Arabidopsis thaliana: one gene and its partner. The protein of the gene in region 1 interacts with the protein of each later gene in a pairwise test. Each region holds a gene or a part of one and is shown on either strand. Other genes may lie near its edges.

Region 1 (4,846 bases):
TTTCGTTTTTAATTAATTAAATTAATTAAATTAGTATTTGACTTTTTAATCCTTAAAGAGATAAATTAATTTACTCTTTAAAATTTTATTTCTAATGGCATACCTATGTAATTACTTACAAAAATTAAGGTTACATTTAAAATGTACTTCCCAAATAATATAGTAGGATAAATTGTTTTATCTATGATTTATGAATATCCACATCAGTTCTGTAAAAAATAAAACTAAAAGAAAAACCAAGGAGAAAACAAATCGCCTTGTAAAAAACCGTTTTTGATAAATGTAACATTTAGGTTTTGTGTTAGTTAAGATCCGAAACAAGACAAATCTTATACACGCCATAATCCAGTATGTCGAAATCTACACCGTATTAATTATTGCTACTATGAACAACCATTCTATCCGATCATAGACTTTACTCTTATTTGTCGTTATTATCATAAAATGTCGTTTAAATAAATTATTTGTAGGATACCAATTCTTTAATTATATTAGTTCAAACACGTATAATTTTGGTGGTTTTTGAGGATGAATATCATCAAAGATAAATGCATTTTGGTGAAATAAATAATCAAATAATTATTTTAAATTATCTTTATGCACCACTATTTTTAATAAATTGGACTCTTACAACGTTTTCCTTAAAAAAAATCATGGATCTTAAAACTTATACCCAAACAAATATGTAGAAAATTATTATTATATATATAAATATATATATATATATATAAGCTATACAAAATCTTATTATATAGTAGTAGCGCTTGATTCTAAAATAGCATAATTAGACGAAAAAGCATGCATTTTGTAACATTTTATACTTTGTAAGTAAAACACATAAAAAATAATTTTATGAATAAGAAATCCACATAAAAAAAAAAAGAAGTAACATACTGTGAAAAATTAGGAAACTTTTTGAGGCACCAATTTTTTATGCCACTTTCAAAAAAGCATTAATGAAAATTTGTTTAAAATATCATTTTAAAATTTGACGTACAAAAGTACAAAACCTCATACAATTTCAAAACTTTACAAAGACTCAATAACATGTGTTATAGAGACTTTATAAACTTTCTTATAACATACTCTATAATTTTTTATATCCATATATTTGTGATATTTTTGAAAATGGATAAAATAAATTTGATATTTTTATAAATAGAAAATATTAATGGTATTTTTGAATTTTTCCCAAAATAATTATTAGTCTTATACTCCAAAATGTAAAAAAAAATCACTTTTTATTAAAAAAATACTTACGCATTTGCTTAATTGCTAGTCGTCAAAGTTTTGTCATTTTATGCAAATACTAAAAAAATGTAGAAAGCATTTCCTCTTTATTTTTGGGACAACCAAGAAAGGAGCATTTCAATAGTGTATACATAGACAAAAATATTTCTCATTTCCTATATTTGACTCTTTAAATCTTTAATAGCTCTTGTAATTTTTTCCATTCATTGTAATACAGCCATAATGTTTAAAAGGAAACTGTCAATTATAAACTTATACTAGAATATAAAATATGGTATTGAATTGAATATTTTCAAAAATAAAATATTAAATTTACGAAAAGAATAAAAAAACTTAAAAATCTCTCTCTCCTATCTCTCAACCACAACTTATTTTTCATGTCAGTATCCACCAACACATATATACGGCATATAAAAGATTTTAATAAAACCTTGGAACTATCTATATCTATTCAGACACACACGTCTATATATATATATACACTCATATACTACTTTCACTGTATCATTCTTGTTTTCTCTAAATTTTTCAAAAAACCTTTAGAATTTTCATTTTTTTACGATTCCGATGTTAACTGTTTCTCCGGCTCCAGTACTCATCGGAAACAACTCAAAGGATACTTACATGGCGGCAGATTTCGCAGATTTTACGACGGAAGACTTGCCGGACTTTACGACGGTCGGGGATTTTTCCGATGATCTTCTTGATGGAATCGATTACTACGACGATCTTTTCATTGGTTTCGATGGAGACGATGTTTTGCCGGATTTGGAGATAGATTCGGAGATTCTTGGGGAATATTCCGGTAGCGGAAGAGATGAGGAACAAGAAATGGAGGGTAACACTTCGACGGCATCGGAGACATCGGAGAGAGACGTTGGTGTGTGTAAGCAAGAGGGTGGTGGTGGTGGTGACGGTGGTTTTAGGGACAAAACGGTGCGTCGAGGCAAACGTAAAGGGAAGAAAAGTAAAGATTGTTTATCCGATGAGAACGATATTAAGAAAAAACCTAAGGTGTGTTTATTTCCCAATTATCCATGTTAGATTAGTTTATTTTTTTTCTTCTTTAAAGGTAAAAAATCCCATTAAGAAATCACCAACCTTTTTAAGGATTTCATTAAAAAAACATAAACTTCTAGTGTTTCTGAATATTTTTTTTACAAAGTTAGTGAATTAGTGTATTTATCATATACACAATTATTATTAAGTTTGATAACTGGAGTAGATCTAGGACCAAAACCAAGTTTTGTGTAGTAGGACTATACAAATTTGTGTGTTTATTTGGACTAAATATTTTTTTTTATAAAACTGTAAGACAATTTTCTATAAAAAAAATGAATTCCTTTTTTTTCTTTTCATTTATTGATTAATTAATATATTGTTCCGGCAAATCAGGTGGATTGGACGCCGGAGTTACACCGGAAATTTGTACAAGCGGTGGAGCAATTAGGGGTAGACAAGGCGGTGCCGTCTCGAATCTTGGAAATTATGAACGTTAAATCTCTCACTCGTCACAACGTTGCTAGCCATCTTCAGGTAAATTTTAGACTAAAACTATACAAACTAATTTTAACAGGAATTAATCAAGTGCTATAACCCCTAACATAGTAATTACCTAATTTATAGATTACATGTTTTTCCTTCAAAATTTTTTATGAAAAGACAAGTAAAATACTAACCAACTCAGATTTGTGTAATAAGATTAATTTGTGTTGTGTTCTTCTTGTAATGATAGAAATATAGGTCACATCGGAAACATCTACTAGCGCGTGAAGCAGAAGCTGCCAGCTGGAATCTCCGGAGACATGCCACGGTGGCAGTGCCCGGAGTAGGAGGAGGAGGGAAGAAGCCGTGGACAGCTCCTGCCTTAGGCTATCCTCCACACGTGGCACCAATGCATCATGGTCACTTCAGGCCTTTGCACGTATGGGGTCATCCTACGTGGCCAAAACACAAGCCTAATACTCCGGCGTCTGCTCATCGGACGTATCCAATGCCGGCCATTGCGGCGGCTCCGGCATCTTGGCCAGGTCATCCACCGTACTGGCATCAGCAACCACTCTATCCACAGGTAATAATAATTCATTTGTAAAAATGTTACATGTTTTTCCATTATTAGTTGTATGGTTAAATCATGAAAAATAATCGAAATGACATAACTAAATCAGCTTTGTTGAACAATCATGACACTGCAAAAAGCTAGTCTTTGTACACTATTGGCTTTTTAACACATGCAACATATATAAGTATAAAACGGAATCATTGAATTAGATTGTGGTTTTGTCTAACAACGCAATTAGTAAAAGATTGCAAGATCATGAATCATTTTTATGTAGACAACTAATAAAGATTTAGAGCTATGAATTATGTATGGATTTTACAAAAACATATTTCTAATCATGGTTTATGTGTATATATGTGTAGGGATATGGTATGGCATCATCGAATCATTCAAGCATCGGTGTTCCCACAAGACAATTAGGACCCACTAATCCTCCCATCGACATTCATCCCGTGAGTGCACCTTTTTTGGTTTCAATTTTGTTTATTAGATTTTGATTATGACATAACCCAAAAAAGTTTTCGAATAAATTTTGGATAATTAACAATATTTCATTACTTGACGGTTGCAGTCGAATGAGAGCATAGATGCAGCTATTGGGGACGTTATATCAAAGCCGTGGCTGCCGCTTCCTTTGGGACTGAAACCGCCGTCGGTTGACGGTGTTATGACGGAGTTACAACGTCAAGGAGTTTCTAATGTTCCTCCTCTTCCTTGAGAAAGATCTCCAAAATTTGTCGAAATCTCAAACTTTTAACTTCATTTTTTTGGTATCTTCTATGTATTTTTGCAAGGGAAAGACGATAAATCCTTGTTGCTTGATCATATGTATTTCTCTATATGAGTGCATGTATCGAAGTTAAGCAACTTTAATATATCGTTATAATCTTCGATAGCAGAATCTGTAATTTTTATTAACTTTCAACTCCCGAAGCATCATTGCAAAATGACTAAATGCAACACTTTTTGGGGTTAAAAATGCTTAACATTTTAAAACATTACTATCATTTATTCAATCAACAATTTATAGTTTTATACAATTGAAAACTAGACGGGATATATATCGCATGTGTTTTTTCAATGGCTTATTTTGTTTTATAATGCCAACTTTCACAGCTATGGATTGTGACTATTTATAATTTCAAAGAAGTCAAATATTTTTAAAACTCAATTAAAGTCCATAAAAAAATTTGCAATTGATAATGTTAACATATCGTGGCAAAAAAAAAAAAAAAGTACAACACATAATTGGAGTTTAGATATACGAATATTCTTTTAATTGGTTCCATGTAAAAAACTTAATTCAAACGGATTCGATTGGTGACACAAAATGGTAAAAACAAAAAAGCGGAAAAAGTTTTAAAAATACTAGAATAGTTGAAAGAAGTAAAAAAAATACAGGTACAAAAAATACAATAGTACAAAAAAATACTAGAATAGTTGTAGATATACTTTTGTGTTTAGTAAACTATTAAAGCATTAAATATTGTACCATGCGATAGAGATTACCAATCAAAAGCCAAAGTGATGATG
Region 2 (3,990 bases), 3.8 Mb from region 1:
ATCACATAAAACTCATAGCGACTTTTAACAACTCAAGATATATTTTTTCTTAAAAAAAAGCAAGCAAGTTAGTAATTAATAGAATAAATTTGGTAAAGCCTACTCAACTTTCGAAACCATAATATGAAAATCTTTAAATTTATTTTTGGATTTTAAACGGCTTTCAACAAATTGATCAAGATGAGTTCAAAGACAGTTTATCAAAACAGATTAGCTGCAAGAGATAGTCTTTTGCAGAATGCTTCATAAAGTTTGTAACGGATTAGCAGCAAGAGATAGTCTTTTGCAGATTGCTTCATAAAGTTTGTAACAGGTTGGTATGAAGATGTTATTATGTTCTAAATCATGCATCTATGTTAATTTAGACCAGTTTTGTTTTTGGCTTAACTGTCTTTAACTCTTTAATATATGTACATGCATAGAGTTTGTGTTTTGTGTTTAAGTTATATGTATGTAAACTAGCTTTTAATTTGACACATTTTCTCTATCAAATGTACATGGTTTATGTTTATTGAGCAACAAAAAGTCTTTTACATCTTCAAGTTATTTAAATGTTCCTATTTAATATATCAGAAATGTAACATCACATATTTCCGAGAAAAAAACGATTCTAAATTACACTATTTATGAACTAGAGAGAGTAAAATTTAAAATTAAAATGGCTACTTAATTAAAATACAATCATAATTTTTTTTATTTAAAAAGCAAGTATATCATATCTTGGTTTACAATAACATAATTTCAAATCTCATTGCCATCCAAACAGAAAAATAATTTTTTTACTAGTCCAAAAAATTAGGAACAGATGTAGTAAGCTTTGATATCCCTAAACCCAAGTAAAAACCCCAACAAAAAGATATTAGTAGAAGATTGTTTTTACAACAAATCAAAAATATAGTTTTCAAAAAAAAAAAAAAAAAAAGATACTTGAGAAGCGCGTGGAAAGTACGAATAGCAAGCAGTGGTGGAAGAGCGAGTGAGGGAACAAAGAGTACAGAAAAAAGCCTAGAGACGTACCACACCACCGAATTATAAATGGCGGCAAATCCTAGGTTGCTCGCCACGTTACTTCTAGCTGTAAAATGGTAACATTTCAATTTAACTACCATATTTATATTGATTCAAAGATATTTTCGTCCTAAAATCATTTTAATATCTAAAATTAAATACATAACTTCCTCAGTCACATATTCATCTTCCCTAAATTAACATTATTCGATTATCTAACATGGAAAAATGTATATTGTATAATACAACGTATTCAACTTTGACAAAATCGCATTTATTTTATTTCCCTAACAGTTAAAAAATCGCATTTATTTTATTACCCTCAACATTCGTACGTGACAAGTTGAAAAATTGCATTCAAATAGACGAAGTTACCCTCAACAATCATCATTAATTACTTAATGTCGGTCAAAGCTAGTGGAGTGATAAAAAATTTGTTGAGAAGTAGTAAGTAAATTTGTTTTTATTATTAGTATCAAATAAACTAAAAAGGTAAAAAAAAATTTAAAAAAACCGGGACCGGGTATCTTGGGGGTCACGTGACATGAATCGCGAAATTCGAGACTAGAAGCCACGCGCTGACTCAGCACATACAGGAAGGAGCCAAATATCTAATATCGCCACGTGTCACCATGCGACTTGCGCTCATGAATGCGGCGTCCCGTATTTTTAAACAACTCTCTTATACCCGAAACTACCCTTGGAGTTTTGTAGTTAATTACGGAAAAATGCCACTGATGGAGGAGCGGAAAGAAACAGCTTCGACAAGGAAAGAAATCAAATGATATTAAATATTATATATTATATAGTTTTCGAATTTATTGTTTACTTTTGTAAAAATGAATAAAATAATTATGGCTAAAACCCCGAAGAGATCCTATAAATTAGCATTTCAAGAGTGAGCTAGAGAAGGTCTCCACTTGCGAATCGCTAAAAAAAATCACTGTTTCATAACACGTTTTTCTCTCTCACCCACCAAAAAAAAATCTTTTGTTCTTGTTACCAAAAAATCTCGTGATAAATCTCTTCAAACTTTGTTTTATTTTCTTCTTGATTCTCTCGAAATCTCTCTCAACAAACCCAGAAACTTTCCTTGATTCGCAAGCTTTTCTTCCTTTTATATTCTTCATTTTGATGCGAATATAGAGAGAGTCCATAAAAGAAACAGTAATGGACGAATATATTGATTTCCGACCATTGAAGTACACAGAGCACAAGACTTCAATGACTAAATACACCAAAAAGTCATCGGAAAAACTTTCCGGTGGTAAGTCATTGAAAAAGGTTAGTATTTGTTATACTGATCCTGACGCAACAGATTCATCAAGTGACGAAGACGAAGAAGATTTCTTGTTTCCTCGCCGGAGAGTCAAAAGATTCGTTAACGAGATCACTGTTGAGCCTAGCTGTAACAACGTCGTCACCGGAGTTTCGATGAAAGATAGAAAGAGACTCTCTTCTTCCTCCGATGAAACTCAATCTCCGGCGTCGAGTCGTCAACGTCCTAATAACAAAGTTTCAGTCTCCGGTCAGATAAAGAAGTTCCGTGGTGTTAGACAACGGCCATGGGGGAAATGGGCGGCGGAGATTAGAGATCCGGAGCAACGTCGGAGGATTTGGCTCGGGACTTTTGAGACGGCGGAGGAAGCTGCCGTGGTTTATGATAACGCCGCTATAAGACTCCGTGGACCGGACGCTTTAACTAATTTCTCCATACCGCCTCAAGAAGAGGAAGAAGAAGAAGAACCGGAACCGGTTATTGAGGAGAAACCGGTTATTATGACGACGCCAACACCAACAACATCGAGTTCTGAATCAACTGAAGAAGATTTACAACATCTCTCATCTCCTACTTCGGTTCTCAATCACCGGTCAGAAGAGATTCAACAAGTACAACAACCGTTTAAATCAGCTAAACCCGAACCGGGGGTTTCAAATGCACCATGGTGGCATACCGGGTTTAATACCGGTTTAGGTGAATCAGACGATTCATTTCCTTTGGATACTCCGTTTCTTGACAACTATTTCAATGAATCACCACCAGAGATGTCAATATTTGACCAACCAATGGATCAAATTTTCTGTGAAAATGATGATATCTTCAATGATATGTTGTTCTTGGGTGGTGAAACTATGAACATTGAAGATGAGTTAACAAGTTCTAGTATCAAAGATATGGGTTCAACGTTTAGTGATTTTGATGATTCATTGATATCAGATCTATTAGTTGCTTAATATGATGATGAGAGTGAAGAAGAAACCATCAAGCAAATATCTATGGTGTGACTGAAAAATTTTGGTGTTACTTTTTTTTCTTTCATAAGTTCATGAGCTTTTTTGTTTCTTTTTTAATAATTTATTTAGTTTTGTCAGGAGCTTGTAAAACAGTTTTGGAGAAATAGTGGAAAAATAGTTTAATTATTCTGTATTCTTTATTTATTTAAGTAATTGCGTTATTAGTTGCACGAACGTGTTTAATTTTCAAAGCATTTGGCATTTATTTATTTTTTGTTAATTAATTATTTAATTTTAGAAAAGCCAAAGTGGCATTCTCTTTGTAAAGTCATACTATGAGGCGCAAATTACGGTCGTGGCCAGTGAACTGAGAGGTTTTGGCCTTTGGGTTTGGTCTGGTTGAGAAGAGGTGTTTTGTCTTGTAATAGTCATGTTAATCTTAAATTTTGTCAGTAATATAAACTTCAAAATAAAATGTAAATTAATTAATTGTACAGAACACAAAATTATATCATTTATTATTCCGAAAATTACTATCAAATCCTAAATTCGAACATTATCAGAAATTCATGTTTATGATGGAAATGTTTTGGAAAGAGTTCCAAACACATCACAAACTTTTTGTAACCATTTTCGAATATCATTCAAGAACTCTTTCTAAAGACAAGTGTGTGGCAATGTTCTAGAATTCGAACATGTTGGTGGTAGGTGTTTTTTTTAGATGGATTTTTGGGATCCATATGACAT

The links. The genes of interacting proteins can lie anywhere in the genome.
Region 2: the proteins of GLK2 (region 1) and CRF3 interact in a two-hybrid assay, tested with the Arabidopsis thaliana proteins (one large-scale study listed by BioGRID).

The regions. Positions count from the first base shown.
Region 1 is NC_003076.8:17,796,617-17,801,462, forward strand, and holds GLK2 (GOLDEN2-like 2), read left to right. Parts: upstream 1-1,664; 5' UTR 1,665-1,818; coding exon 1,819-2,265; intron 2,266-2,646; coding exon 2,647-2,787; intron 2,788-2,986; coding exon 2,987-3,322; intron 3,323-3,675; coding exon 3,676-3,765; coding exon of another isoform or gene 3,766-3,810; exon of another isoform or gene 3,811-3,884; coding exon 3,885-4,031; 3' UTR 4,032-4,310; downstream 4,311-4,846.
Region 2 is NC_003076.8:21,617,214-21,621,203, reverse strand, and holds CRF3 (cytokinin response factor 3), read left to right. Parts: upstream 1-1,922; 5' UTR 1,923-2,178; coding exon 2,179-3,243; 3' UTR 3,244-3,490; downstream 3,491-3,990.